Linked DNA regions of Nothobranchius furzeri. The protein of the gene in region 3 interacts with the protein of the main gene of each other region in a pairwise test. Links are inferred from orthologs where the notes say so. Each region holds a gene or a part of one and is shown on either strand. Other genes may lie near its edges. The genes, in order: pacsin2, fuca2, meox2a, pcsk5b, pak1ip1, fkbp6 and cib3.

Evidence for each region.
Region 1: the proteins of meox2a (region 3) and pacsin2 interact in binary tests that used the Homo sapiens proteins (3 or more experiments, as listed by UniProt). The two-hybrid records come from large-scale screens. The link is inferred for Nothobranchius furzeri from reciprocal best matches to the Homo sapiens genes MEOX2 and PACSIN2.
Region 2: the proteins of meox2a (region 3) and fuca2 interact in binary tests that used the Homo sapiens proteins (3 or more experiments, as listed by UniProt). The two-hybrid records come from large-scale screens. The link is inferred for Nothobranchius furzeri from reciprocal best matches to the Homo sapiens genes MEOX2 and FUCA2.
Region 4: the proteins of meox2a (region 3) and pcsk5b interact in binary tests that used the Homo sapiens proteins (3 or more experiments, as listed by UniProt). The two-hybrid records come from large-scale screens. The link is inferred for Nothobranchius furzeri from reciprocal best matches to the Homo sapiens genes MEOX2 and PCSK5.
Region 5: the proteins of meox2a (region 3) and pak1ip1 interact in a two-hybrid assay, tested with the Homo sapiens proteins (2 studies listed by BioGRID). The two-hybrid records come from large-scale screens. The link is inferred for Nothobranchius furzeri from reciprocal best matches to the Homo sapiens genes MEOX2 and PAK1IP1.
Region 6: the proteins of meox2a (region 3) and fkbp6 interact in binary tests that used the Homo sapiens proteins (3 or more experiments, as listed by UniProt). The two-hybrid records come from large-scale screens. The link is inferred for Nothobranchius furzeri from reciprocal best matches to the Homo sapiens genes MEOX2 and FKBP6.
Region 7: the proteins of meox2a (region 3) and cib3 interact in binary tests that used the Homo sapiens proteins (3 or more experiments, as listed by UniProt). The two-hybrid records come from large-scale screens. The link is inferred for Nothobranchius furzeri from reciprocal best matches to the Homo sapiens genes MEOX2 and CIB3.

The regions. Positions count from the first base shown.
Region 1 is NC_091741.1:43,428,658-43,432,993, reverse strand, and holds the start of pacsin2 (protein kinase C and casein kinase substrate in neurons protein 2), read right to left. Parts: upstream 2,845-4,336; 5' UTR 2,710-2,844; intron 1-2,709.
Region 2 is NC_091758.1:20,099,414-20,103,544, reverse strand, and holds the end of fuca2 (plasma alpha-L-fucosidase), read left to right. Parts: intron 1-1,952; coding exon 1,953-2,137; intron 2,138-2,857; coding exon 2,858-2,966; intron 2,967-3,057; coding exon 3,058-3,195; 3' UTR 3,196-3,610; downstream 3,611-4,131. UniProt on the Homo sapiens protein: Alpha-L-fucosidase is responsible for hydrolyzing the alpha-1,6-linked fucose joined to the reducing-end N-acetylglucosamine of the carbohydrate moieties of glycoproteins.
Region 3 is NC_091745.1:64,691,279-64,695,496, reverse strand, and holds the start of meox2a (homeobox protein MOX-2), read left to right. Parts: upstream 1-1,312; 5' UTR 1,313-1,651; coding exon 1,652-2,207; intron 2,208-4,218. UniProt on the Homo sapiens protein: Mesodermal transcription factor that plays a key role in somitogenesis and somitogenesis and limb muscle differentiation. Required during limb development for normal appendicular muscle formation and for the normal regulation of myogenic genes.
Region 4 is NC_091757.1:46,927,212-46,930,832, forward strand, and holds part of pcsk5b (proprotein convertase subtilisin/kexin type 5b), read left to right. Parts: intron 1-947; coding exon 948-1,141; intron 1,142-2,271; coding exon 2,272-2,356; intron 2,357-3,621. UniProt on the Homo sapiens protein: Serine endoprotease that processes various proproteins by cleavage at paired basic amino acids, recognizing the RXXX[KR]R consensus motif. Likely functions in the constitutive and regulated secretory pathways.
Region 5 is NC_091751.1:42,045,122-42,049,265, reverse strand, and holds the start of pak1ip1 (p21-activated protein kinase-interacting protein 1-like), read right to left. Parts: upstream 2,812-4,144; 5' UTR 2,589-2,811; coding exon 2,511-2,588; intron 1,894-2,510; coding exon 1,731-1,893; intron 1,617-1,730; coding exon 1,496-1,616; intron 1,421-1,495; coding exon 1,346-1,420; intron 1,275-1,345; coding exon 1,222-1,274; intron 1,143-1,221; coding exon 997-1,142; intron 870-996; coding exon 772-869; intron 669-771; coding exon 569-668; intron 450-568; coding exon 320-449; intron 87-319; coding exon 1-86. Other genes in the region: si:dkey-222f8.3 (uridylate-specific endoribonuclease C), read left to right, coding at 3,334-3,344. UniProt on the Homo sapiens protein: Negatively regulates the PAK1 kinase. PAK1 is a member of the PAK kinase family, which has been shown to play a positive role in the regulation of signaling pathways involving MAPK8 and RELA.
Region 6 is NC_091742.1:25,793,231-25,797,587, reverse strand, and holds the start of fkbp6 (inactive peptidyl-prolyl cis-trans isomerase FKBP6), read left to right. Parts: upstream 1-1,441; 5' UTR 1,442-1,607; coding exon 1,608-1,658; intron 1,659-1,860; coding exon 1,861-1,978; intron 1,979-2,068; coding exon 2,069-2,158; intron 2,159-2,228; coding exon 2,229-2,431; intron 2,432-2,957; coding exon 2,958-3,077; intron 3,078-3,579; coding exon 3,580-3,777; intron 3,778-3,955; coding exon 3,956-4,065; intron 4,066-4,357. UniProt on the Homo sapiens protein: Has an essential role in spermatogenesis. It is required to repress transposable elements and prevent their mobilization, which is essential for the germline integrity.
Region 7 is NC_091751.1:45,117,368-45,121,600, forward strand, and holds the start of cib3 (calcium and integrin-binding family member 3), read left to right. Parts: upstream 1-1,384; 5' UTR 1,385-1,806; coding exon 1,807-1,857; intron 1,858-4,233. Other genes in the region: admp (anti-dorsalizing morphogenic protein), read left to right, coding at 1-56, 139-261, 336-525, 656-1,080. UniProt on the Homo sapiens protein: Acts a an auxiliary subunit of the sensory mechanoelectrical transduction (MET) channel in hair cells. Plays a role in regulating hair cell MET channel localization and function.

The DNA.
Region 1 (4,336 bases), on a different chromosome or scaffold from region 3:
GACAATTGCTACATTATGATGGCCACGTAGCGTTGCTGCCTTTCACAGACAACTGGCCCTCGGCATTCTTCAAATATCCAAAAAAAAAATGCCCGTACTTCCGACTTTGTCTTCTTTGAGGGGTAATAAATGTCCCAAGTGCTGCCGTCTCCTCCTGCCATTATTTCAGCTTTAGCTTAAAGAAAGTTTTGGTCGTAAACATCAAAGTGCGCATGTGCCGCCGGCAACTTCCAACAGATGATACGGTGGCTGGTAAGGGTCACTGCGCCTACACCGCAGCCACGGTAATCCACCGAGATATTTTTTTTAAACAAGACGGTTATTATTATTGTTAACTTTTTTTTACCGGGGTTTACTGCTACACCGGTTACCGTGACAACCCTAGCCCTGACACACTTTCAGATATTCTCATGGTGCAGCTGTGTTCTCCAGAGATCAAGGACTAGGACCCAAATGAGGCTGTAATGTTTTGGCACAAAGACGGTATCAGAAGCAGGAGGCCAGACTTCATGGACAGAGAAAACAAGGAGTCTGACTAGATTTCAATGAAAGAGTTCATAAAAACATCTCTAAAAATAAATAAATAAATAGTAAAAATGACAAAAGAGTTGTTTTCCTTATTAATTGATGTTTTAATTATTTTGTCACTCTGTTTGGAATCAACATAATATAGAATTACATGCTTTAGGTGGATCTAAATCATTTAGAATTTTGGCCGGTAAAAAATATGCTTGGCCGGTAGATTTTCATCATCTACAGGCCAATTGGCCGGTGAGTAAAAAATTTAATTTCGGACCCTGCCCACACCGCTGAAGAAATCCACAAATAAACGGGATGATGGGGATTTTCTTTATGCTTGTGGAGTTTAGTCATTTAAAACCATCACGTTTTTTCTTAAACACACTTGCTCATGAGAATGCTACCCGCTAGCTTAGTATTAGCAATGCTGCTCTTAGTTTAACTCTTGATCTCAAACTTTGGACCGTTTCTGCCAATGGACAATGGTTTCTGTCTTTGCTGGTTTCTCCATTTTCCTCCACAGCATCTAGATCACCCCATGGTGCTCCAGTAAAATGTGTTCAGACTGTGGAACGCACATTTAACGAAGCTTCGAATCAGTAAAAAAATGAATAGAGGAATTTAATGAATCGAACCATTCGAATAATTTCATGATTCGTTTCAGCCCTAGAGCTGACCATTCATCGCGATATCTATCTGTTCTTTGCAATATGCATATTGTGCATGCTGATATTGCGATAACTATATATTAACGATATATTGTGCAGCCCTAATCAAAAACAGTGGTCAGTATATAATTTATGTTGTGGCCAAACGAGCCGTGTTGTAACGAGGTTCAAGTAAAACTTGTGGTCCATCAGGTCAGCCATAACCTCTACACACCAGACCAGTCGGGCTGCTGAAAACTCCCTTAATCCATCATCAGAATAAAAACAATGGCAGTCGTTCCACACTTTCAGGCACTTTCCACTAACCATGCCAACAGAATGGAGAGGAACATAATGGAGGGAAATACGGTATTACACGAAAGGAAAGAGGGGATCCTTACATCATCAACAGGGCATGTAAAATTTCTTCCTGTGGAAGCCCTTTTTTATTGGCCACAGACACTTTAAAACATTACAAACAACAAGCGGTCAGCTTTTAACACATTTGAATGATCACATCTATTTGAACTATTTTGTGTACACTCTTAATGAATGCACCAAAAAGATTAATTCGATCTGAAATAGCCAACGTTTAGTTTAGTACAAGAACAATCAGTTCACTTGGCCTCTGACAAAAAGAGGAACTGAACATTTTCACTACTGCTTCACCCTGACAACATCCCTACAAACATGACACATTACACTGAACTTAGACCAGTCACTGAACACGTTTAAATCACACTGATGATCACCTCCACTGATTCATGGGAATATCACAAATACTGAGTCATCGTCCTAAAACAGGCCCAGTTCTCACTGAATGGAATGACACTTTAGGTGGCTGATATACTACAAAACACCCAATTTTCATTGTAAACCTCGAGTATAACAACAGTTTTCTGCAGTACAGAGGACTTGGCAGACTAGATGCACTGCGCAAACGTTAGCCCTGACTGAGCAGAACAGGGAGCGTGGGTAAGCCCCTTCACCGACAGGGCTGCTGGACCTAAGCCGTTTTTTTCCATTGTAAATGGACAGATTTTGCAATGATGGGTCCAAAAAGATATGCCATGCACCGAAGGGTTATCTTTACTTGCGAAAGCAGCCCCGCCCTTCAACACTCCTGGCAACGAAACGCTGATATCTCTAGAAAACTAAAGCCAGATGTTGTAAAACAGCACACATTATAATGGCTAAACAACAGCTGCAAAACCGGCGTTTCATAAACAACAATCACAGAGTGCACGGTTTATTCTGAGGACTTTTATACGAATGACCAATGACCAAAAATACATCTACGTATGTTATCAATGACAAACAAGTTGACCCTCAAGTGTCCATCCAACCATATTTTACCGCTAATAGTGTTGTTACATCCTAATAGTAGAATAGTTTAAGCTATTTTCGTCAACTTATCACCTTCCTTTAGAACGTTGCTTTAAGTTAGCCACTAGTTAGCTGTATTCATTAGCTAAGTAGCCACAGCCCTGAAAGTGAAAAGTTAGAACAACAGTAAAACATGAAACTTTCGGTGTAAACTTACCTCTACTTGGTTTATCGTTGCTTGAAATGTGGAATTAAATGGAGAGCGGTGCGTGTAGGTGGTGCCAACTAAGAAATCTCTTCTCCGCTTGTCTGCCTGGCAGCGGCACCGTGGAACGACTGACGGAGGACGGTGTGTCACAACTTTCGGTTACCCAGAGAGAGACGGACCATATCCGGTTGGGATTTTCAATATAAACCATAAACCTACTCTTGAAACATCTTGCTTGAAAATATATTTCCGACTTGCTTTTCCTTTGCAGTGAACTAATAAAATAAAGAACATACACTAATGGGAATAGAACTAAATTATAGTTAACAATACTGCAATAGGACACACCCATTTTCTATATTACACATCAATAGTTTACAAAAAAGATATGATGCTAATTAATTTCCTTAAATGAAATCTCATTTAGGAAAAACTTATGCTTAGTATAATTTCAGTGTAATTTACAACTATGTATAAATAAAGTCATGATTCTTTAATACTCCGCACCGCCTCGTATTTAAACCAGAGATCGTAGAAAGAGATTTAAACCTATGAATTATGTGAAGAACTTATAATGCTGCAGATCTAGTAGACCATAAAAATCTCACTAACATGAACTTAAAAATTAAAAAGTTAAATCGGGTTTTGTTTTTGGAGGGAAATCCAAGTTGGAGAGGAATAGATAACAGCTTTTATTTTGAAATAATATTTCCTCTTGTGGAAAAACCTGCATTTGATTAATTAATTCAACATTTAAAGAGACACGCCCACTGACATAACGTGCCTGAACTTTTCTTTTTCTTTTTGGGAGGCTGCAGAAGTTCAGACGTTAGTTTTAAAATAAAAATTACTTTTTAAGTCAGAATAAAACATTTATAACTTCGAGGACAACTGAGGCCATTCTAAAATCTTGTTTCAGACATACCTAAATATAAAACATGGTGTTATTTTAACATGTGTTAGATTAGATTTGGGCCTTTTAGGGAATCTTCTTTAATTAAAATCAGATTAACTTGCTATTAGTTCTGTGCCTAAAATGAAACATTGCTGCTCCACAAGCAAATGAGAAAGAAAGCTTAAATGTTTATCAACAGTCAGCACGCTCTTCTGATGATTTACTGTAATAGTAAATATATCCTAATTAAAATGAGGGGCTAGACTATTTCTTACATGAATGATTTGTTGTGTTTAGCAAACAAACTTGACACAAACAAGCTGCTGATGGCCTTGGACCATAGAGACATCAGAGGTAATTTAGAGGTTAAATAACAGAAAACAAAGCATGCTGCTAGCTGTAAATGTACATTTAACCCAATAATTTATTCATGTACAAATAAACACGCCTTTCTTTAGAAGGAAAGTAATAAGCAGACATTAACATTTCTGTATGTTAATTTTTTTTACAAACATCCACCCTATAAATAAACCAAAATACCCAATGAATAATTACTGATCTGAGCACATACCCATGTAATGCAGTTCCATAATTCTTACTTACCGATCTACAAGACCTTCTGGTTTTTATTTAATCTATTTTATATTTGAAAACGTGAATAAACCTGTTGCTATACAACCTAAAGGGCCTGTTTGTCAACAATTTGCCATAAATCAATATTAACTTTGTTACTGATGCATT
Region 2 (4,131 bases), on a different chromosome or scaffold from region 3:
TCAGAATTTGACAAGTTTTAAATGGTGTTACCAAAGTACCTCAGATACTTGGAGGTTATATCTTAGTATGAAGTGAAAATTTTAAATAGATTATGTGAAGCACAAATGTTCAACATTAATAATAATAATATGAGGTGTGAAGATACTGATAGATTTAATTCCTAAAATCAACAAATGCTAATCTGCTGTAATTTAAGATCTGAAATGAATCATTTCAGGAAAAATATTCATCCATCATTCATCAATGTAAAGTTCAGGTCAGGACACATTATTCAAACATTTTGGATTTAAACAAACTATTCAGCCAACAAAATATGATTATATGAAGTTTTAAAGTCATTTATATGAGTCAGGGAAGATAGACTTTTTCAGAGTAAAAGATAAGAAGTTCTGCATGTTGCAGCCTTGAGGACTCGTGACAAATGCAGGATTTGTTAATATTGGCTCAAGTTTATTTTTTCATATTGGCGCCACGGTGTCAGATCGACCTGTATGAAGAGGTTTGGCCTGTAAGGGAAAAGTTAACATCTGGGCATTTTTGATGAAAAACGTGGCCATTCGGTAGCTACAGCTTTTCTTTCTTTATTATTTTTTTTACATGGGAGTCAATGGGAATTTTCTCTGTTTTGGAGTCAGCTCCTAGTGGATGAATGGGGAACTGCAGATTTTGTCACTTCCATGTTGGCTTCACTTTAGATCAGGGATTCCCAAAGTGTGGTGCGCGCACCCCCAGGGGTGCGCGAGCTGCCGCTAGGGGGTGCGCGAGGTGAAAAGTGTAATGGCTGCGGAGCTCAGAGAAGTCTGTCATATGTCACCATTAGCATAGAAACTCATTTGTGGGCGGGCCGAAGAAAAAGTAAGTGGGCCCAATAAATGTAATTGAAAACAAGTATATTTTTGCGCGCACGCGTGTCCTCCACATGTGCCCTAGCTTCATAATAACAATGCGCCGAGCTTCAGCACTCTGGCCTGCGCACGCCGATATGTTCCGTATTTGATCATTTTTAACGGTGTTGGAGGAATCTGAAGGTGGCGAGTCATTCTGGCAGATTGTAATTAACACCCTGTTTCATGCAGGTGTTCTGACGTTGTAAACCTCACACACAGAACATTATGGATGTAACTAAATAACAAGAAATGATTCCCATTCAGGCTATTGACAGCGCGCTGAAGATCTGAAGTTCAGAGTGCGTCTGTCAGAGATCAGACACGTTCCAGCGGAACCACGGCTCACGGGTGCACAAGTGAGCAGATCTGGGCTGGGCAGAAGTAATTTTACAACATTGGTTTAAATAGCGCCAATAACGAGACGCGGTGACTTGAGCGGCTGTGCCGCGCAGGCGTGCGCGCGCACACACACACACAGATTCAATAAGTGCGCACACTGCTTTAACTCCGGCGCGCCGTCAGACTGAAGGCAGAAATGAACGCTGCCTCCACGCGTGATGAAAACTTTTAAGAGGTTATTTTTCATTCAAGGTCAAATTAAGATATTAGCTTCTGGGATGAGTCGGGTCCGCTCCAGCCAGTGACTCCTCATGAATCTGACCACAATTCCTGTTACTGCAGCATTTGTTATTCCAGTCAGCGTGTTTAGACTAAAGCATGTTTGTCTAAAGTTTAGACAAAGGGAGTTTGCCCCTTGGCTTTTCCTGATTGCTTACTACTTGTTGTTAAACATCTGTTAAGATAAGCTTACATAAGCTGTGTGTGTGTGTGTGTGTATGTGTGTGTGTGTGTGTGTGTGTGTGTGTGTGTGTGTGTGTGTGTGTGTGTCTGTGCGTGTGTGTGTGCGTGTGTGTCTGTGCGTGTGTGTGTGCGTGTGTGTCTGTGCGTGTGTGTGTGTGTGTGTGTGTGTGTGTGTGTGTGTGTGTGTGTGTGTGTGTGTGTGTGTGTGTGTGTGTGTGTCTGTGTGTGTGTGTGTGTGCGTGTGTGTGTGTGTGTGTGTGTAGACGCTGGTGGAGACAGTGTCTTGTGGAGGAAACCTGCTGATGAACATCGGCCCTACACACGATGGAAGGATCTCTCCGATCTTTGAGGAGCGTCTGAGGCAGATGGGTCAGTGGCTGAAGGTGAACGGGGAGGCCATCTACAACACCTCAGCCTGGCGGGTTCAGAGTGAAACCACAAAAATGTGGTGGGTCTGCGTTTTAGATCTTTTGATCGGAAAGCTTGTGTTACATTTGCTTAGTCACAGCTTTTTTATTTTAGTTTGTTATCAGGAGGCCTCAAGCATAAAAATATAAAATATTTCAGTAATTTTACCATATTAGTGTCTATTGTTGATTTCAATTGTAATGTTTAGTGTAATTTAAAACAACAGATTATATTTTGAAATATAAAAAATATACATTGAGCACAATAAATGATTAGTTGGCATTTTGATTGCGCCAAAGGTTTTATCATCAGAGGTTAAAGGGCCTGTATCATGCTATTTTACACGTTTCCAGTAAATGATTAACATTGGCACCATTGAGATGTCATTTTTAACCAAGTATAAGTTATTTTCTTAACCCATTACTTCTACCTGGAATTAAGATGCTTGGATCAGATGAAACCCTGCCTTCCCTCCTTCCACAATAGTGCACAGCTGCAGGCCTAATTTAGTCAATTTTTAGTAATTAACTCTTAATCAGACAAATAAATGACCATTAAACAATATATTTATGTCAGCGGTTTCTACTTTTGAGTCTCCTTAGCTACAGCAGCTACTGAAATAAAATAAAAATTGAATTTGTTGTATTAAAGAATCATAGATAGTTTATAAGTAGAGTTAAGTTAGGTAGAGTGTAACTGTTTATGAAACACACCTGTTTTGTTTTATCTGAACAGATAAGCTAAAGTTGTTCCTCCACAGGTACACAGCCAGACCTCAGGAAAAGACAGTATTTGCTATTTTACTGGATTGGCCGGATAAAGGATGGGTGATTCTGAATGAACCAGTGGCCACTCAAGGATCCACCAAGGTAATGTTCACTTATCAGTAGTTCATGCATGAGCAACACGCTCAAGGAGAGTAAGAGATGAGCGGTCTTTCTTCTCTCTTACCTGAAACAGGTGGAGCTTCTGGGTTATGGCTCGCTGCAGTGGGAGCCGGCGATGGCCAGCGGGCTGAACATCACCCTGCCTCCACTGTCCTTCAGACAGATGCCATGCCAGTGGGCCTGGACCTTGAAGCTGACAGGTGCCTCCTGAAGGGAAAGCCACATCACATGAACACAAGCTAATGTGTCTGAGTCACTAAACTTCTTATTTGTGTTCAGAAATTGGTTCAATCATGAGAATAATAAAAGCCACACTGTTTTCTGAAACTTGCACTGATGTTCATTTTTTTAAATTGTGAAGTAAATACGTTTTTAGGCTCTTTGTGACCATTCATTTAAAACTTGAACTGAGGTTTTATCTTACAGCCAAAAAGCAGCTAAATCTCTCTTTTTTTGGTTCTAATTTGCACATTTTAATCAACAGAATCATTCTGCCGGGTTTGGGTTTTTATGTAAAAAAACGTTTCTAGCTTACATTTTGATGATTTTTCTCTGTATTTAACGGGATTTAATAGGGTCGCTGTGATTTTGTGTATGAATAATTAAATAAAATAATTTGAATAATTTCTGGCATTTGCATTTTCTTGCTAAAAGTAGTTATTTGTGGTGTTTCTCTTCGGTTTTGTTGCTCTCTGGTGCCCCCTTCTGTGGGGTCTAGAACAGCATCCCAATTGTGTGGGACATTTTACAGCAGCCTGGATCTAAACGGAGCGGTGCACCCCTGCTGTGCACAGATGACCCAGCAAAACAACACTCTCCCTAAAGCTCCTCTTAAACACAGCCGTGGAAAGGCTGGCTGCACACGGTGGACGGTAAGTTTTTGCTTCCTGCTCTTTCTTTCGATAAAAATCCATCTTCTGAGCCTCCACCGACCTTCGGCAGCTGCGATAACGCAGCGGAGATGGTGCACCCGGTGGAGGGTCGATCACACTGTTGTGTCTGCTCTCTGCTGCGCGCCTTTAAGGTGGGAGGTCCCTGTTCTGCAAATGTTCCATGACGTGCAGATGGGGGGTTTGCAAGGGGTTTTCACGTCCATGCAGTTACCCCCGATCCCCTCCTCCCGTCCATGCCTCCCTCTCTCCGTCCG
Region 3 (4,218 bases):
ATTGATGAATTCATTATTATTTATAGCAATTAGACCAAGTTTCATGTGTGGATTTGATGCCCAAATCCATGTTTCTAACTAGTATTTATTTTAAAAACTATACATATAACTAAAATATTTGAATTGTATAAATAAAATAGGTTAAGAAAAATTTGTTTTGTCAACAGATTAAATTAAATAAAAAACTGAAAAGAATAAAAAAGAAACATATTCCTTAAAATATTTTATGGCCTTAAAAAATAATTCCAAGTCTTAATTAACACAAAATAAATTTATGTGCAGAATTTCTCTTTTATTAGGATTAAAACAAACCTGATTCATGCAAATAAAATACTTACTAAGGTAAAAAAAAGAGTTGTAAATAAACATTTAGTGACATCAACATAAAAAACTGCTTCAGAGGTTGGATGGATAAAAAGCAAGGGGTCTTACTAAAGAACCCTGAGGGACACCACAGGTTAAAGAAGCTGATTTATAAGAAAAATCTCTGATGTATACAGAAAAGGATCCTTCGCTCAGATAAGAGGCTAACTTATTAAAAAGGTTCCTTGAACGTTCTCAAGACGAGGGATAAAAAGTCATGACCTGCTGGATCGAGTGCAGCTGTGAGATGCTGTGATAAACAGCTCCGACACCAGAGTCAACAACAATTAGAATATCATGAATCGTCTTTAAGGGCTGGATTAAACCAGATTGAAAACCCCACACATATGGGTATGTGGTTAAAAAACTACTGGAATACAATGATCCACCTTCTCTTTTAAAAGTAAAACAGCGTAAAGGCGGGTTGTGACGTCCACAGGGTTCAGTAATCAAAAAAAAAAATCCACATTTGAATCTGTATTTGTGTATCAGTTGATTCATTCTTTATTTTAGCCGCTAAATAAAATAATAACAAAGTGTGAATTATTTGTTTACACAAAAAAATTACTCAATAGGTGACAGGAAGCCGGAGAGCATCACCGTGGCTCCCGGCTGTGGCGGTATTTGTTTAGCGATGCCGTGACGTGCTGAGTTAACCTTTGACATCTCTCCACTTCCCCTGACTCCACATCCCCTTCTTCCAGCCACACCCGTGAGACATTCACGTCGTTTTTAACACGTAAAAATCAAAAAGAAAGGGAAGATGGGCACCACAGGTCAAGTCCAAAATTAGGCTCAGCCATTTTAATAGTGTAGATTTATTATGCTGTGCTTTTAGGAGGGTGATCATATATATGTGGTCAGTAGCGCGTATGCAGTCTATGACCCAGCCTCCCTCTCACGTTACACCCTATTTATAACATCCCCTTTGCTGGCTCCCCTCGTTCTGCAGTTCCTAGGAACCTCCTGCGCTTCCAGCCTCGAGCCTCAGTCTTGTGTTCCTCCTGACATCTGAGAAGAGGTGCAGCAGCTTGTCCTGGGCTAACTGTTTATCCTGCACAGCCTGCCAGGCAGACGCATGCTCTGGATTACCACAGGACACCAGTCTCAGAGCACTTTTTGCTCTCCACGCTGACTTTTTGATTACTGTGCTTTAAGGGGAACACAGAAAAGGTTTTGGGAAAGTCTCTTGGATATGTGCGTGTGATCTTTCTTTGTTTCCTGGTGATTTAGTAACTTCATCCCCGTTACCTGCTCGTCTCACCTGTACTGGAGGTCTCCTCACCCCATGGATCACACGCTGTTCGGATGCCTGCGGAGCCCCCATGTCCCGGGTCAGGCCCTGCATCCTGCCTTCACCCAGTCCCCCCTGACTCTTCATGGACGCTCAGATCACATCACCTACCCCGACCTGGCCTCTTCATCCTCCTCCTCCTCCACATCTTCCCCTTCGCCCTGTGTCATCTCCAGCTACTCGACTGATGATGGCCTGTTTACCCACCACCACCACCACCACCACCACCGGAGTCACCTGCCTTCCCAGCAGCATCACCAACAACCTCAGCATCACGCATCTTGGCACATCCCACAGATGCCGTCACCTGGCGGCGGCAGTGTGCGTCACGGCCTCTGCCACCCGCATTCCCTCTCGTCCCACGAGAATGTTCCCACACCTCCGGACCTGGGCCACCCCGGGGCACCCAGTATGTGCGCCAGCACCCCGACGCTGGGCAATGACAGTACCCCCACGGGGGCCTCCTGCGTACCCTCAGACTTTGGCAGACAGACTCTGTCACCTGCCGAGGCTGAGAAGAGGAGCAACAAGAGGAAAAGTGACAGTTCAGGTAAGAAGAGATGAGATGATCCTAGAGAGGGAGTTTAATTCTATTATTTCACAAGACCGCCCACACGCAGACTAAAAGTGAATCAGCATTTTTAAAAATGACCACAAACATCTGTACAAGTTGGCGGGATTCTGGGAAATCCACAGCTGTGATAGAAAAACCAAAAATCAGTTTGTAGGCGTCGGCTGACACGCAGCGACGCTGCAGGCGTACGGCGGCGCTGAGCAAAGGCCACGCTGCGACTGCACGGGCACATCTGACTGCTGGCACGCTTTGTGTAAAACTAACATCTGGTTTGTTGCGACGCTCTTCAGAGGGCAGAAAACAAGGTGCACAGTTAAGAATTGATGTCATGGATTGTAAAAGGCAACACCGGCGCCTCGTGCTGCACTTAACGCCTCACTGAGGCAAACATGTCAGGTCTTTTCTTCTTTCTGAATCTTGTGGTGAAAATAAATCACTGGAACGAAGCGGGAAACATAAGGAGTCACGATGATCTAAGAAGGCAAACTTTTAAATAAATGAGCACACTGGAAAGAAAAATCTCAAACAGCATGTTATTATTTTAATAATTAAAACAGTGATCAAATGTTTTACTAATTTACCAACAAATATAGTTTAACTTAAAAAATGATCTGCTTTGTAGCGCTGCTTTTGAGTTTAATTTAACAACTTTAGCCCGTGTCCCCTCAAAACCCTAACCCTAAATTACGTTTGAATCAAGCTGAACCAAAGAATCACACAAATACCACAAAAGCAGATTTGACTAAATGTGTACCGACTGAGATCACCTGCTGGATGACCTGCAGACACCCACCGAAATAATCAATCACTGCCTGACAAACGTCTGGGTTTAGGTCACGGGAGTCCTGGCAGGGAAGCTGATATCGCTGAGAGTTTCAAGGAAACGTGTGCTCGCCGTTCCCTCAGTCCTTTTGTGGATGGCAGAGCTTCAGCGCCGATCTTGCATCCTTTTAAAGGCCTCTGTTGTCACATCTCAGATTTTCTCATATGGGATTATAATTTTGATTCCAACAGTTTATAAATAAATGTTTGTAAATTTTATTTTAGAATAAGCCTTTGTTGGGTTTATTAGCCCCGCCCCGAAACACGACTGGAAATAATTTGATTTATAATTCACAGTCAGTCCAGATGTGATGGAATTGGAAGAAAATTGGAAAAATCATTGCAACACAATAAAAACAAAATGACGAAGCCTAATTTATTTAGTTGTTCCGAGTTAAACGTCCAGTTATCCAAATGGAAAATGTTGCAATCGCATATTTCATCAATGCGCTGCTTAAAAAATTTTTCTTCTCTCCGTTTGAAATCCCCGGAAAACCGAAATCCTGCCTTTGCTGCTGCGTCAGATGAGCTATGCATTCTCGCCACAGCAACACCAATCATACTGATTATGGAGGCTAACGACACTGCTGACTCAGTCAGCTGTCTAAATATCAGACCGCTCGCTGCCTTCTGCATGAGATAGAGCCTGGCTTGGATTCCAGCATCTGGACCAGGAGCTCGAAGGAAACCTGAATTTAGCAACAGAAATAAAAACAAAACCTGAGAACTTATTTCCATGTTCAGTTTTTACCTCCTTTCTCCTCCAATATGGATCAGTTTTCTGCTTTTGCTACCAGGTTGTGACTGTTTCCTGATGCCAGGCTGCAGGCTCAGTTAATGAGCTGAGTCAGGGAGTCTGGTTTCTGCTTGGGTTTGGGGTTTTTTGTGGGTCTTGTGAGGAAAGGGTGTCTTTGCTGAGTTGATAGTGCTGCGGAGGGAGTGGTCGTCCTTTAAAAAGTTCAGAGTTTTCTGACAGAAACAATAAAAGATGCTTTTTTGGATGAGGTGTTGTTATAAAAAGTGCAAGCGTGAGGTGCCAGAGTCTTCTCGCTGGCACTAAGAGTCGCTCTGAAGAAGAAGACGTCACACTGTCATTTAACGTTCATAGACTCACCCATCTTGAATCGCCACGGGGACGGCTGTTGTAGGTTTAGCATCCAGGAAA
Region 4 (3,621 bases), on a different chromosome or scaffold from region 3:
AAAGAACAAGATTTCAGATAAAAGCGGCTGAAATGAGTTTTCTTCACTGGGTGGCTGGGCTCTCCCTTACAGATAGGTTGAGTGGCTTGGGCCAGGATGCCTCCTGGACGCCTCCCTGGTGAGGTTTTCTGTGCACGTCCAACTGAGAGGAGGCCTAAAGGAAGACCCGGGACACGCTGGAGGGACTATGTCTCTCTTCTGGCCAAGGAACGCCGTGGGATTCCGCCGGAAGAGCTGGCCCAAGTGACTGGGGAGAGGGAAGTCTGGGCCTCTCAACTTAGGCTATTGCCCCCGCGACCTGATTCCGGATAAGTGGAAGAAAATGGATGGATGGATAAAATATTTCTCTCTATTCTTTCTTTACAATAAATTATAATATTGTGAAAGTTATGTTTCATGCGTTTTTAAAGTACTTCTTTTGGGTTTTATTATCTAACTAAAGTGAAAGATGATCCACAAATCTTGGTTGCAGATTTGGCGAAAAAGAAAAACAAACAAACATGAAGATGAGTTTGAAAAGACAGACGAGGTTTGGATTTGAGTAACTCCTGACACACATTTGCACTGACTGTGAGTTCAGCGCAGCAGAGAGAGCAGGTGTGGAAGGTGTGCAGTACGAACACGTGCCAGTGTGTGCTTTCACACATGAGTTAAGTGTCTCACTCGTGCCAGATGTGTTTCTTGGCAGAAAACTCTAGTGTGTGTGCAAAGCTTAAAGAGTGTGTGTTTGGGGGGTATTTTGTGCTCTTGAGGATTTAGAGGTCTTTTTCACCTCGATTAAGTTTCCTGTGGGTGAATCAGAGGGGGTGGCACGGAGCAGGGAAGTCCTCCAGCAGATGTTCACCTACACACACACGCACGCACACACACACACACACAAAGGTATGATCTAAATGTTTTGTAAAACACTCTTTTCCTCCTTTTTTCCCAATCCCCTCTCGTTTCAGGATGTGTGTTTCCGAATGCCCAAGTGGCTTCTTCCGTGACGACAGGAAGCGCTGCAAGAAGTGCTCCTCTACGTGTGAGACTTGTGTCGGGAGTCGCAGCGACCAGTGCATCACGTGCAGACCCGGTTTCCACTTCATTGAGGACTCCAACACTTGCGTCGTTAACTGTGGCGACAGCTTCTACCTCGACAGGGGTACGCTTGTGTGCACGTGTGGCGCCTCGTAATGCAGTCAGGCAATCTTGATATTTGAAAAGGATTCCTTTAACATTCTCTCTCTCTCTCCTCTCGCTCTCTCTCTCTCTCTCTCTCGCCACTACAGAAATAGGAAATGACTGCTCAGCTTTGATAGTTCAAACTATTTACCCTCTATCAGTCTATTGATGCTCCTGGCTGCAATGATAAGAGTACTGAGCTAAATTCTTGCTGGATGGAGAAAGTTTTCCACAAACGGGAAAGTAGACTGGACCTTTTAAATAAAAACATCTGTTTGCCATCTGTGTTACAAAAAATGTAATCTGCAAAAACTGCTTTTACCTTCCAACTTCAAGCGATGCCATTTTATCTTTGATCTAATGTCTAGCCACTTGTTTATTTTCTCACACTTGCTGAATCCAGCAAGAAAAAAATTCTGCTCTAGCAAACTGGCTTTTCTTCCCCTAAAAGTTAGCCATAAAAGCAGAAAAAATCTCTTTTTTTTTACTGATTTATTTTTGGTTTTTTATAATTAATAGATTTGTGCAGTCCTGTTCATTCGTGGCACACATTAAAATGAGATGTTCACGTCTTGAACATGAGTCAAATCTACATCCCAGCCTGGACGAATGCAGATGAGGAACAAAAGACTCAATGCATCAGTTAATTTTCTGTACGTTCTTGCAGCCGCATCAGTGTGAATCCTGGCAGAGTCTCTGGGTACTCTGGTCCAACTTTAAAAAGAGCAAACTGGTTCATTTTCTTTTCATCACTCTGGCAGCAAAAGTGGGAGAATTCATCCAACACACTGGCAGATTCATCATTTTATCATTTAAAATAACTTTTTAGAAATAAAGTTATAATGAAAGCACATATGATGTCAGCCAAAGGTAGTAACAGTATTTCTGACAACCTCACGCTGACATGATGGATTAATAAATGGTAAAAATAACCAAAAGTGTTTCGAGCAAAATCAAGCGTTCAGTGCAGTCTGAACCCCGAAATGAACAGATGTTTCTATCTCCTTTATTATTTCTGCTCATTTCAGTTGCTGCTATCTTTGTGCCATTCCCCCCCATTTTAACCAGACCTCTGGCTCTCCTCTGACATGCTCCCATTTTGTCTTTCAGATCTGCACATGTGCAGAAGATGTCTAGAAAACTGCAAAAAGTGCACAAGTTCTAGCATCTGCACGGAGTGTAAACCTGGGATGAGGTAAGCTGAGTCTAGAGAAACCAAGTCTTTCATTGTATAATCCCTTGTGTTTAACATTCATGTTAATCTAACATTTCCTGAATTAGCAAGGAAGGAAATGAAATCTTTCTTTACCGCTTTTTAACTCATTCACTTCCAGCCCTTATCTGAACAGAAGCCCCTGACTGCCAGCGCTTTTGAGCATTTTTACAGTTTTTTTTGAAGAGCCACAGAATATTGTGCTGCATGACCTTGTAAACACCAAAACTACCAAAAGGAAGAGTTGACTCACTTATTTAATCAGGAAGAAACAGAGTGTTTCTTGCTTTTTCCATTCTTTCACAATCCGCTGTACAAGTGTGAGCTGCAGAAGCTTTTCTGGTTTGCACCTCGCTTTAGGCATAGCGACGCCCCAAAACAGTCTCTTATTCATGGATTGTCTACTTTATGATCATGTGACATATATGGGTTAAAGTCAACTTTAGAGGCATGATGCTTACACTCAGTGTGTGCAAGCGCGTCCCCAAGCACGCCCAGTTAATGATGGCTTTAGTTGTTGATGGCAGTGAATCGGATAACAAGTTTTGCTCTAGGTTTCTCGCTTTTTGTTAAAACAACCTACATTTCATTAAATTTAGGGACAAATTAGGTGATGCATGCAAAATGACATGAAACCATCTGACCCAGGAGCTCTGTTGGAGAAAGCCTTTAGCATTAAAAAACAAAACAACAACAACAACAACAAAAAAAAATATATATATATATAATTAACAACCGTTCATGTTCGCTCATATTCTCTGGTACTTCCTGTCTTTTATTCATGCCTGACCCTGACGCGCTCCGCTGCTGCAGACCTCAACACCCATGCTCCTGTGATTTCTGCTCACTGGCGTGGCTGCGCAGTGCACAGTCCGCTGTTTTTGCGGTCGGTAGATCCCTTTGATCTGCTTAGTTCCAAAGTAACTCATAGGATGAAAAAGGAGAAAGCCAGGCAGCAATGTTTCTGGAGGGTTGAGAGGAGATGCAGGAAGATTAGAGACTGACAGGAAAATAGTCGAGTAAAAAAAAAAAAAAAAACAAGAAAACAAAATGAAGTGCTTAAAAATAAAATAAAGAAACAACTTTTAGTTACTTTACAGGGAGTCTCTGCTTCTAATTTAGATCAGTGTATTACAGTGAGTTTCTGGTTTGGGTTCACAGAATGAAACTGTGAAAGCAGAACATCCCAACTGTTTTCCACTTGGGAGCCTGACTGAGCAATCTTATATTCACCCCATCACCCAGAT
Region 5 (4,144 bases), on a different chromosome or scaffold from region 3:
CTTTTTAGGTTTGCTCTCATCCTCTAGAATGACTTCTTCTGTGGCGATTCGAACTCTCTTTGTCTTTGCAACTCCCTGAGCAAGTTCTGTGGACAGAGTGGGAGAAGGATAGGATGTTAGTAAAGAAAAGGCAAATGAAATATAGAAATTTTATACTTCAACATTTATCATAATTCAGAGAGATGAGTCGCTTTCTGCTGAAACTTAACAGTCTGGAAGAGTGTATGTCAGCTTGTTCACATAAAATAACTAAATAAAAATCCATATTATTGGAGGTATCTTTCAGAATTCAGAAAGAAATTAAACTCGTGGTGTCCACCTTGAGATTTTGTTGCCGCAGACTTTTCCTCAGCAACCTGCTGCCCTGATGAAGGCTTCCAGACAGCGAGGCACGTCAGTCTAGCTGCTGCGTTAACTTCACCCAGAAGGACAGGAGGATTCAGCTCCTGCTAAACAAGAAAAACAGTTTTCAACTTAATTTTCTCTTTTAAAGAAAAAATAAATATCCATTCCATAAGGTGTATGAATTTTGGTTTAAGGGGATAAAAATATTTAGAACAAATCCTGCCTCTTTAAGGTGGAGTTTCCACATTTTGATGAAACCATCATTTGAAGCCGTCACCATCACACAGTAATCCTCCATAATAAAGCTATCCACTGCTTTCACTCTGAAATGACAAACAGATATGAGGATAAAAAAAGATTTAAGTGCTTTTCTGTCACATTTTATGTAAGACAGAGAAACAATGCTGTTTAAAAAACATAACTCACCTGGTTTCATGAGCCTTGAACTCACACAGCCATTCAGCTTTTCCAACATCACACAGCCTCACAGTTTCATCATCTCCTGCGACAGCCAGGATGGCGTTCTGAATGATAAAACAGTTTAAACACAGAGCTCCTTCGTGGATTTTGCCCTTTTTAATCCGTGCTTTCATTTGGTTTATGTACAAAATCTCAGTTTAAGAATTTTTAAGTCTTGGCCTGAGAACTCACATTTAAGAACTTTATGGATGAGATCCTCTTTGGGTTTGTGACTGTTCCCGTCACAGAGGCCGTCTCCAACTTGTAAATATCCATTTTATCATTGAGCACAACCACATATCTATCCCCATCTGGAGACCATCTCACTATGTGTGCATCTGTGAAAAGGTGCAATTAAAAACATCTAGTTTTGTAAAAAGCTCCATTTTCTTTGGTCTAAGCCAACTGAAGACTTACTCTGTTTGATGTTTTTGATAAAAGCCGATCTTCCTTTAATGAGATTCCAGGTTCTACAATAATTAAAAACTGTTATTTTGGATTCTCGTTGATAATAAATTGCTTATAGAGCTGAGAGAATTACCTCAGACTCTTGTCCGTCCCTACTGTCAGAGCAAGTTTTCCAGATGGATGTACAGACAGTGATGTGACATGACCTCTGAGAAAGTAAAGATTCAAAACTATTAATGACAGCTCTTTCAATGCAGCTGCAGGAATCTGACTGCATGCTTACTTGTGAGCTTTGATGGACTTTACACACTCCCACTTCTTTGTGCTCCACACACACAAGAGTCCGTCTTCTCCTCCACTCAGTAAGTAAGATGTCCCGTAAAACTCAAGGCAGGTGATGCTGCCTGTGCAGCAAAGAGAGATTACAGTCAAACCACAAGGAAGGCCCTTCATTACTGTAGCACAAAGCTAATTACCCAAAGTCAAGATGTGAAACAAAAAATAAAATAAAATCATACCGTTATGATGCAGCAAGGCTCCATGCTCGATTCCCTTTTTCATATCGTACACCTGGATGGTTTCATCTTTGCTTCCTGTGACCACAAACCTCTCACTGGTTGCCACAGTTGATACTGAAGCTGTGTGAGCATGATGGGTAAAGTCAGGTATGGCTGTCCACTCCTGCATGACAAACAAAAAACATCTATTCAAATCTTAATTTTTGACTTTAAAATACATTTAAAACTGCATTGATAATATTCCTCGTATTTATTAAGTTTATTTCTTGCATGACAGCGCAACTTAGATGCATGTTAGTATTTATAATCTGAATTTATTAGCCATTTCCTTTAGATGAAACGTACAAACTGCCTTTCTAGTCTTTCTTTTAATATTTTGATGACTATTTACTGTGCAAATTAGGCAAGGCTGCTTTATTTATATTGCACATTTCAAACACAGGGGCAATTATTATGTCACGACAAAATGCACATTTGAAAGAAATATAAGAGATTAAAAGTGCAACATAAAAAGAAGTGACACTTTTTATACACTTATACATATACTAAAAGATTAACACTGACATCTCTGTGTTATTTTAGGCAATAAAGTATTAATTGTGTTTTGAGACAACACAAATAACTTGTTTTGTGATTTGCTATCTCAAAACAAATTTTGCTAAAGGCTACTTTTGTTATGGATGATCGTTAGAAAATATTACTTTAAAGGTTGTTATATTATCTCATCATTAACTAGTCTTGACATTTTCATGTTGTCATAACAAAAACAAGTTAACTCACTTTTTCTTCAGTTTTTACTTTGTAACCGAACGTGATCTGCTCGTAGCAGCCAGCGATTAGCCCCACTACAGCTGCCATGCTGCTAGCTAGCTGACTAGCTAGATGTCTTGAAAAATCTACTTTTATCTCAAGAAACTCTGCAGCTAAATTAAAGTTGTTGTCGCCAAAGTCCTAAACCAACACATACATGATAAATACATATGTGAAAATAAACAAAATAAACCACGCGGCGAACACACTAACACATAACTTTTTAGCTAAACACGTATTTTAATCCAAAATAACATGTGTAGGTGCTGCGCATGCTCACAACAACGTGATGATTTTGCAGGACGTGGGATTTCAAAATAAAAGCAGAAAAGGGAAAACTAATTTGTTTTACTGGTTTAGCGAACCTGTTGTAAAAAATTTAAAACTATCTTTGTTTTCAGTTGGCTGAGATAAAGGAAATGATGTTATATTTAAAATTAAGAAATGTGATGACAATGTGGGTCTTTGTATTTTTTTTTTTTTTACTTTTACTGACTTTTTTTTCTCAATACCAGTCTAGTACCTGGTAAATGTCCAGATAAAATCTATTTTCTTGATTTTCAGAATCAGAGCTTAATTCATTCAGGCCTAAAAGTCGAAACATAATGGATAAAACAAAAAACAGGATGTAAAATTTCAGAATGTCAAACCACAGACTAGGCCCCGCCCCCAGAACAAACCCCAGTCTTGTGATTGGCTGGTTACTTTACAAACGTCTGATTGACGACTCAGACTCGCTGTCTGCTGCAGTTTTCTGAAAACTCGCTGAGTTTTTCCTCTAATAGAAATCATCATGGCCAACAGGTGAGTCTTTACTTCCGAGAGACTCTCGGTGAAAAACTTACTTTAAACATTTAATCTCTGTTTATATTAAGGATCTCACTTCCATTTGAGCTAGTTAATTTAAACTAGTTTTAGACTTAATCACATTTTGTTTTTTAAGAAATATTAGCTACTGTTGTAAACACGATCCTTGGTTTACATTGTTTTTCATCGTTTGTCTTTTAAATTGACCCGTTTTGTCTTCTTTAGACAAACGATGTTTAGTTGAAGAAGTTTAAATATGTTTATGTTTTGAGTAGGACTAAATGTTGTTGGGCAGCGGAAGCAGCAGAGTCTGGTAATGAATTGTGGTGAATTAAACAACAGGACATAGCTGAGTTTATGCTGTGATCAAACGTTGCAGCTGCTCTTCCTTGTCATGTTCACATCTGTGTTTGGGCTAAATAAAAAACAGAGAAGTGTTTGTGTTGGTGTGTATTCCCTTCCTGACATCTGCTTCTGTCCAGCTTTCATTACTAAAAGGGTGTGGCGATTTTAAAATAACAAGAGTATTTATTTGCAAGTTTTAAGTATAAGATGATTAAAAATTATTAGACCAGTAGCACCAGAGGTGAGAGTATTCTAAAATGTGATTTTTTTTTGTCCACCAATGCAAAAATAATTCCATGAGTAACTTGATGAGGGTGTGGTTTTATTTTGTATAGCTAAAGTTGTTTTTGTATTAGTTTTCTGTAATGCTGTTTTTTTTATTTAACAAAATAATACACCACTTATGATTAAAATGTCAGTTACACAGATTGTGGGACAGCATCCTGCTGTAA
Region 6 (4,357 bases), on a different chromosome or scaffold from region 3:
ATGAAACATGTTCCAAGTTACAAAACTTGGTACGTTACATTGAATATTGTCCCAATCCTAGCTCCATACAGTCCAAGTTTTTCTAAGATCTTTCCCAGTCGTAGCGAGTAGACTGAGAAGAGCAGTGGCCCCAGCATTGAACCTAGAGGCACTCCCGAGGGGAGCGGCACAGAGGGAGGGAACATTCGGCAATGTGGATGCTGAATCGTCTGTCTGACTGGTATGACCAGAACCAGTCAAGTGGGGTCCCTTTCATTTCCACCCACAAATCAAGCCTCCGAAGTAGGATGTTCTGGTTGATTGTGTCACAGCCTGCCGAGGGTAGAGGCAGACTGGCAATCTGTGAGTTCTGGAGAATCTCAGAATGGCTGGTGTGCTCTAGAGCTGGTGGGTGTGCTCTGAGCCGTCGTCCTACCCATTCCACCCCCGTTCGAACAGCCATCATCTACCATCATCAATGCAAGACCTTGGTGAGAAGTTAATGCAACACTGGATGGAAATAAATCTTGTAAAATTGCAGAAGCTTATCAAAACAACGCCACAGAAAACGTGTGCCGTAATCAAAGCTAAAGGCGGTCCAATGAAATATTACAGTGTGTGACCTTATTTCTTTGGTGGTGACTATTTTTCTGGCCAGGTAGTGTTTTATTCTAACACCCATTTCCAGCAGCTCAGATGGATTTCCAGTACAGGGACAAGGAGTCCTTCAGCAGTTAGCAAAAACACAAGTAAATGTGTACTTGTATAACAATGTTAAACACAACTGCTGTGTGGAGTCAAAGTGCTAAACCCAGAAAGCTACAGCGCTACAAACTTTCTTTATAACTTTTCATAAATGAGAAGGAGTATTGACGCCCTCCAGTGGCAATAAGCTGAAACTACATATTGGCTCTCAATTTAGTCGATGTAATTTAGCCTCCTTGTCTCACTAAAGTGGGAAAAAATTCTAATATTTGGCTTTTTATTCGTCGTCTTTGGAAAATTAATACTGAGGAGAAGGAGAACAGACAACAATTATAAGTTAACATACTTGGTAGAATACTTTCTGTAAAATCTTTCATAATTAAACACCATGACATTTTAGCATTTGTAACCAGGTACCTTGCTCTAACGGTCTTTTTCTCTTATTGTTTAGCTAAAAACACAAAACTCAATTTATGTAACTGTGTTAAACCCAATAAAGGTTTTTTTTGTTGTTGCAAAAACTGGCAGCCCTGGGGGAAATCGGCGCCATCTTTTTAACCTGCAGGTGATGGCTGCATTCCATTTCGAGGAACTCATGCTTTTGTTGAGATTTTGTTGGGATTCAGAGCGTGTACTTTAATTTAGGAACAAATTTGTGCACACGTATTTATAAAAAAAACCCAGTTATTATGCGACAAAGAAAAAACATTTAAAAGAAATTCAAATTTGACATCTTGACCTGGTTGGTTAGCAAATTGGTACACAGATGTTGAACCTGCCTACATGTTCGTAGCGGGGCAGCTGACGCGTCTGACTCAAAGCAGAAAAATAACAGCTAAAACAATTAATTTAAAGCTAATTACATTTTTGACACCGCATACATCAGGTTTAATTTTCAGAAACAAGTTTTGGCCCGCGATTAAATGCCTTTAAACGGTTTAGTACCGACTTCTGCAAGGATGCGCCCTTCTGTGGTAAGTCGAAGCGATTAGCTTAGCCGAGTTTTAGCTTAGCTAAATGTGGCTTTGTTTTTCTAATTAAATTAAAGAGTCTTATGTTTGTACAAACGTCTACTTTTATTTAGAAAGGGTTGTTAGAAAACGTCTCTTGGGCTGGTCATTTATGGCTGTTTTGGTAACAGACTGAAAACAGCTCCAAATGTCTTCGTCATTGTAGACTCCCTTTCAGCTGCTAATGCAGCGGATGGACGACGTTTTGGGGGACGGAGGGATCCTGAAGGAGGTGGTCCACCCAGGAGAGGGTCCACCTGTGCCTCTAAATGCTTCAGTATTGAGTATAATGCTTGAGATATTGTTAAGTCCTCTAAAGGCATGTATAATTTACAAATAATGTTCAGCATGTTGTTTTTTTGTGCCTTAAATAGTGTATTATTCTGGGTTTCTGGAGTATTCTGATCAGCCTTATGAATCCAACACCTACATCAAGCACCCCCCACTGATGAAGCTTGGGAAAGGTAGGAATTCATCCAGGCTGCTCAGTAAATCACATTTTGAGCTTGAATGGTTTTTAAATAATTTTAACAGAGGTGACATTAGCTGGACTGGAGATGGGTCTGTTGACCATGAAGAGAGGGGAGTTCTCACGCTTCCTCTTCCAGCCCCGGTATGCCTACGGAGACATGGGCTGTCCTCCATTGATCCCTGCTTCAGCCACGATCCTGTACGAGGTCCAGCTCCTCGACTATCTTGACTCAGGATTGGTTGATGATTATGTCGCGAGGAGTCCGGTAGGGATGCTGCTGTGTAAACTGGTATTTTTTTCACTTAGGTGTTACACATGCTCGATCAGCTGCCAGCCTGATTTGTACTTCTCTTCATTTGTTCTTGGTAAATGAGAAGTATGGCTTTTTGATTCTACTACAATAGACACAACTTGAGTTCTATGACAGCGAGAAGGCTGCAGGCTCAAATCCCAGCTGTGGCTTTGCTGCACGGAGATCACATGTTGTCTTTGTGAATGTCTAGATTTTCAGCAGACACTCTGGATTCCTCTACAGACCAAAACCATGAATGGTTGTTTCCAGTCAGTTTCTGTCCCTGTGATGGACTGGCGACTTGTCCAGTGTGTCTCCTGTCCTGTGCCTCTCGCCCAGTGACCTCAGGAGTTAGGCACCAGTTCTCCTCAGGAACAACCAGTGCAGAACGAGTGCTTTTCCTTCGTTTGAGATGCACCTAAAAGAAAACTACACAGCATTTCAAACACGCACTTCAATGATTTAAGTAAATTGGTGGCTTTTCTGCTTTTGTCCTCAGGAGGAACAGAATGCCGTTTCTTTCCCCATGTTCCTCACCGTCGTCAACACACTGCGCAGCTTCGGCAACCGCTGTTTCAACCAGAGCCGATATGAAAACGCCAAAGATAACTATAAACGGGTACAGTTAGGTTTTCTACTTCTGTAGCTAATAGTTCTCTTTGGTGTGTGCATTTTATCTTAAAGAGCAAGTCACCCCCTACCAGAGTATTACTGCACTCCCACTTCCTGTCTGAAAAAGGCAATACATGCTGTTGCCTAGCAGAACGAGAGGGTGGAGCAGCTAACAAATACACACACACACAGGCTCACAACGACATTGTGACATCATATGGTACCAGCTAACGTTCTAGGGTACCTCTTAGCCAATAGCGATGGCAGATTTAAATTCAAATGCAGTGCAGAGTTTTCACCTGACAACGGCACAACACTGACAGTTTTAGGCAGAAAATTAAAATTTTAACTAAAATGCACTAAAGTGCTAAACTATTGACGACACGTGTCTGCAGCACGATTAGACACACATTTATATAGTTTATCAGAAAAAAATGTTGATTTGGGGGTGACTTGCTCTTTAATGTGAACTAGTTCAGACGGGAGTGTGTTTTGTTGCTTTTGCACAGGCAGCAACTCTGCTGGGAAACCGAACAGCACAGAGTGAACCAGAGAAGGAGAAGATCAAGGCGGCTCTGCTGCCTCTCCATCTGAACTGTTCTCTCACCGAGCTCCGCCTGGAGAACCCACGCAGAGCCCTCAAGTACGGCAAAAAAGCCTTAGCGATAGATGCTACCAACACAAAGGCTCTTTACCGCTGTGGACAGGTCAGACTGGACTTTTAGCACTCCGATATTGTCCCACTGTGTCAGAATTAATCTTCTCTAGTTTTAAACAGCTTTGTTTCAGCAAAGCAAACTTCAGAGCCATTTTAGATGTAAAATGATGTAAATAAAGCTTTGATTGATTGATTGATCTTATTCAGACTTGTGTCTTCTGTCCTAGGCTTACATGGAGCTGTCTGAGTATGAGTGTGCTCAGAGTTGCCTCATTTCTGCTCAAGCGAGGAAGCCGTTTGACTCCGACATCAACAACCTTCTGAGGAAAGTGGCGATGTAAGCAGAGTTCATTAAGGAGCTGCTCTCATTCCTGTGGCTAACTGAGTGACAATCGTAGCACAATATGTTGAAAATGACATCAATGTAAAACTTTAAAGGGACATTATGGAAGTTTGACAGCCAAAACATGTATAGAAATAATAAATGTCTTCTTCATACGTTCTCCTGCAATGCCCTGGTCCTGTAGAACGAGCCCTGGCATTTTTACTGTGATTGCCTGTTTTTCTGTAAAATCACAGAAAAAGAGAGATGCTCGGGTCGAGCAGGCTGCTTCATGCGCGTTCACGCT
Region 7 (4,233 bases), on a different chromosome or scaffold from region 3:
TTTTCAAGCTGCGCCCTCAGGTGACCCTGACATCCAGCAGGCATCACTTCTGTCAGGTAAAACAAATCAGCAAATTTCTTGGCTGAAATGAAATGCACCGTGGTGGGTCTTCAACGGAAATGCCTCTGCCTTCTTCAGGTCAGTGTGTATCAGCTCCTGGACAACAGCCAAACCAACAGCAGTCAGGCCAGGAAGCTGCTGTCTTCTAGACTCGTCTCAGTCCACTCCTCTGGTTGGGAAGTGTTCACGGTCACACAAGCCGTGAGTATTTTTTAAACTTATTTTCATTCGGTCTTTAAAAGCTGTTTTAACTGAGAGTGGTGGATTTCCCGCAGGTCCGTCACTGGATGCAAGATGAAGCCAGTAACCTGGGACTCCATGTGGTGGTTCGAACTCTGGGAGGGAGCCAGGCGGACCTGAAAGTGATCCGCTTTGCTTCAGGGCGCCACCATCATCAGAGCAAACAGCCAATGTTGGTTCTCTTCACTGATGATGGCCGTCGCTCTGCTGCACTGGAGAGTGCAGGTGAGATTTGTGCCATATTGATCTGGTCAGGGGACACTCGTGCAATTCAGACTTTTCTACAACTGAAAGTGCATTTGGGAAATAAAATGTACCACCTTTTAAATTCTTTAAACTCTTTTTTTCCTCCTAGACACACATGAGGCCATTTCCACCTCCATCCTACCTCAGATCTCCACATCAGCCCCATCTTTCCGCATCGCTCGCTCCCTGGACCACATGGATGAGGAAGGCCAGCTGAGGCCCTGCCAGCGCCTCCCTCTCTACGTGGACTTCGAGGAGATCGGCTGGTCGGGCTGGATCGTGTCTCCCAGGGGTTACAACGCTTATCACTGCAAGGGCTCCTGCTCCTTCCCTCTGGGTCAGAACATGAGACCGACCAACCACGCCACCGTGCAGTCCATCATCAATGCCCTGAAGCTGATGAGGGGTATCCAGACGCCGTGCTGCGTGCCGGACAAGCTGTTTTCCATCAACTTGCTCTACTTCGACGATGATGAGAATGTTGTTCTGAAGCAGTACAACGACATGGTGGCTGGAAGCTGCGGCTGCCACTGACTGCAGACATTGACCAAATGTAACTTGACCTTTGACCTCTAAATAATAAGTAATGTGCCAAATTCCTCTAGACATTGTAATATATATATATGTAAATATCCATAAATAATAATATATGACTGTGATGGAAGTGGTGTCTGGAATAACATGTAAATGTGTACATTTTGCATTTTCTGGTAAATTTCTGGTAAAAAAGGAAAATAAAATGGAATACATTTTTTAATTCACCAATCTGGAATTTTCTTTTTTAATTCCCAAATTTACAATTGCATCTTAAACGTTTCCAAGAAACTGCAAACCTTTGTTTAAATAGGTAATTGAGTACCAAAATTAAGATGAGCTATCAAGCAATGATTTGGTTTTTAGCTGAAACAAAAGTCATCTCCCATTACAACTCTTTTGCACTTTACAAAACCTGGCCTGTGAAGGCTGTAACCTGAGCAGCGAGCGAGGCGTTGGCCATAGAGTGGCATCAAAGGGGGTTGAAACCACTTGGCACGATGCTGGACGACAGCCCTTATTCATCGTCAGAGGGGCTGCTATTCACAATGGAGAAAACGATGAAATGCTGCCATTATGGTGGCCCGAAACCCGATCTCCCCTTTGGCTCTGGTCTCCTTTTGTCCCAGTATTTCATATCTGACTCAGGCACCATGAGGGGAAAACAAAATTCACTCAGTGCTGGAGCAGCGATGGATCTGAGGATCGGCGTTTGGACGCTCAGACATGGGGAATAAACAAACCATCTTCACAGCACAGCAGCTAGACGCCTATCAGGTCAGTTTTAGTGTTGGTTTCAATCTGACTTGGACCCGTGGGATCTAAAAACATCATGTGTTGCAGCTCTTCGTGTGTTTGAGCTCAGTGTGAGCCTGAGTTTGTTGAATCCATATTTTTGCCTTTTTCTTTAACCTCTTAATTTCCTATTTGAAATTATTTCTCCAAAAAATGTAGAACTGAATTACTAGTTGTGTAATATTACGAAAACCACATAATAATCAGCTTTACTTAGTTATATTACTATAGAATAGAAATAAATGAAATTCACCCTTTCAACCTGTGGCTCCTCCACCAGAGGGCAGTAGACATGAATAAGACAGGATATTGGGGTAGTCTCTTGATATAGACACTTTTTTAAAAGACCACCTTCACAGAAAATCTTTTTTTTTCTTGTATTTAAAAAATAGGATTATCACTCTGGGTGTCACATGCAGGCTGAACAGAGGCTACAACAGAAAAGGCTGTTGATTTTGCATCCAGGAGAGAGCACGTCTCAGCTCGCAGAAGCTAACTGTTAGCATTAGCAACTCCATCACACGGCAGAACTGCACCAGGCTTGTGGTATTTGTGGAGATAAAACATTAAACGTTACAAAGTAAACAGAATTAATCAGGGGTAGATTCATGCTGCTGTTAGCCAATCAGAGGCGAGATATCCAAATATCATAATAAGCAATAGGGAGCCTAAGTCTCGTCCTTTTCCGGTCGGCTAATGGGTCCCCGGGAGAACGAAGAAATGAATGCAAGTCAGCGGGGCTAAAAGAGCTATTGTCCGCCTTGCCTTACGCTCTGGATGGCACAGATGTTGTACTGCAATGTAAATGAAAACTAATGATGGGTGTTTCAATCATGCCTGTCACGTACTTTGAGATTTATCAGCTTGTAAAAGTTCTTAATTAGCATGACTACAAATCAGACGCTGGTACGTCGCATGTATGACGTCACCACAGAATCTCCTCTCCTAGCGTAGCTGCTACTTAACACATGGCCAGATTCAATTCAATTAAATTCGGTTCAAAACTACTTTATTAATCCCAGATGTATGGTGGTTTTTTCACCCTGAAGGAAGGATTTCAAGTTTGCTGAACTTACAGCCATTTTCCTCTGTTTTTATCCGTGTCGGTTTCTATTAGGTCACTTTCGTGAAGTGCATTTGTAGTCCTGGACTTATTTTCACACAAAACCTAAAATAACATTTACCCCCGTTCGAGAATCAGTGCTTTCTTGGCATCAAAATGCTTCTTTAAAGTTCACGGGCATCATATGTGAAATCCATGGCACACAACGAGCGGAATTAGAAAATAGCGTTTTTAGCCCCGTTTGACTTGCATTAACTTTTTCGTTCTTCCGGGGACCCATGGTCCGGAAGTAGATGGGCGAGACTTAAGACTCCCTATATCAGGGGTGTCAAACATCCGGCCCGCGAGATGGTTGTGTAAACTTTATTTTCATACTTTACAATGTAGGGTGAAAATAAATTTATCATTGTGAGCAAGTTTTCTCTGTAATGAGTATAAATAAAACAAAGCTGCGCTCAAGGCTCACACAAGAACTTGAATCACATCCTGAATTTGGCTGCCACTCAGGATGTGACTTATTATGGAACTAGGTTTGGGACAATATTCAGCGTAACTTGTACCAAGTTTTGTAACTTCGAACATGTTTCATCACATGTAACTTTGGATTCGTAACTTGTCCCAATCCTAGTTCCATAACTTCTGATATTGATGTGCTGGTGAAAGCTAAAATATGTAAAGTAAAATGAGTCAAATATACTTTAAGTGCTGCATGAAACTGATCTTGCCATGTGATCTGTAAGCTCTTTGAATCACTAAGGAATGGTTTTTTTTTTTTTAATTTTCAAGTACACTTCAGGTGTTGCACTTGTACTACACTGTCCTCAGGCTCCAGCCTTGTTTTATATTGATTGTATTAAAACAAAGAAAACAATCTGAAGTTTTTTTTTTAATTTACCGGTCCGGCCCACTTGGGACTAGATTTCCCTCTGGCCCCTGAGCTAAAATGAGTTTGACACCCCTGCCCTATTTGCATCATCCCCCACTCCTCTAGCTAACTTCTACTTCCTGAAATAAAAGCACCAGAACATTTTCACACAGAGATCAACACACAAGGCATTCAATCATAGAAGAGACCACAACAAATGTATTGAAAACAACTAAATGACAGCATTAACATTATTTTATAACTGCAGTTTTTAATAAAATATCTATTAAAAGGTCTTATTTTGAGCAGTACAAATAAAGGGATTTCCCCATAAATACATTTTTGGATTCTTTTAGTTTAATAATCAAATTTTTTACAGTTCATGAGGATGTTTTACTTGCTTTTGGTCCACATCTTGAAATGTTTGGAC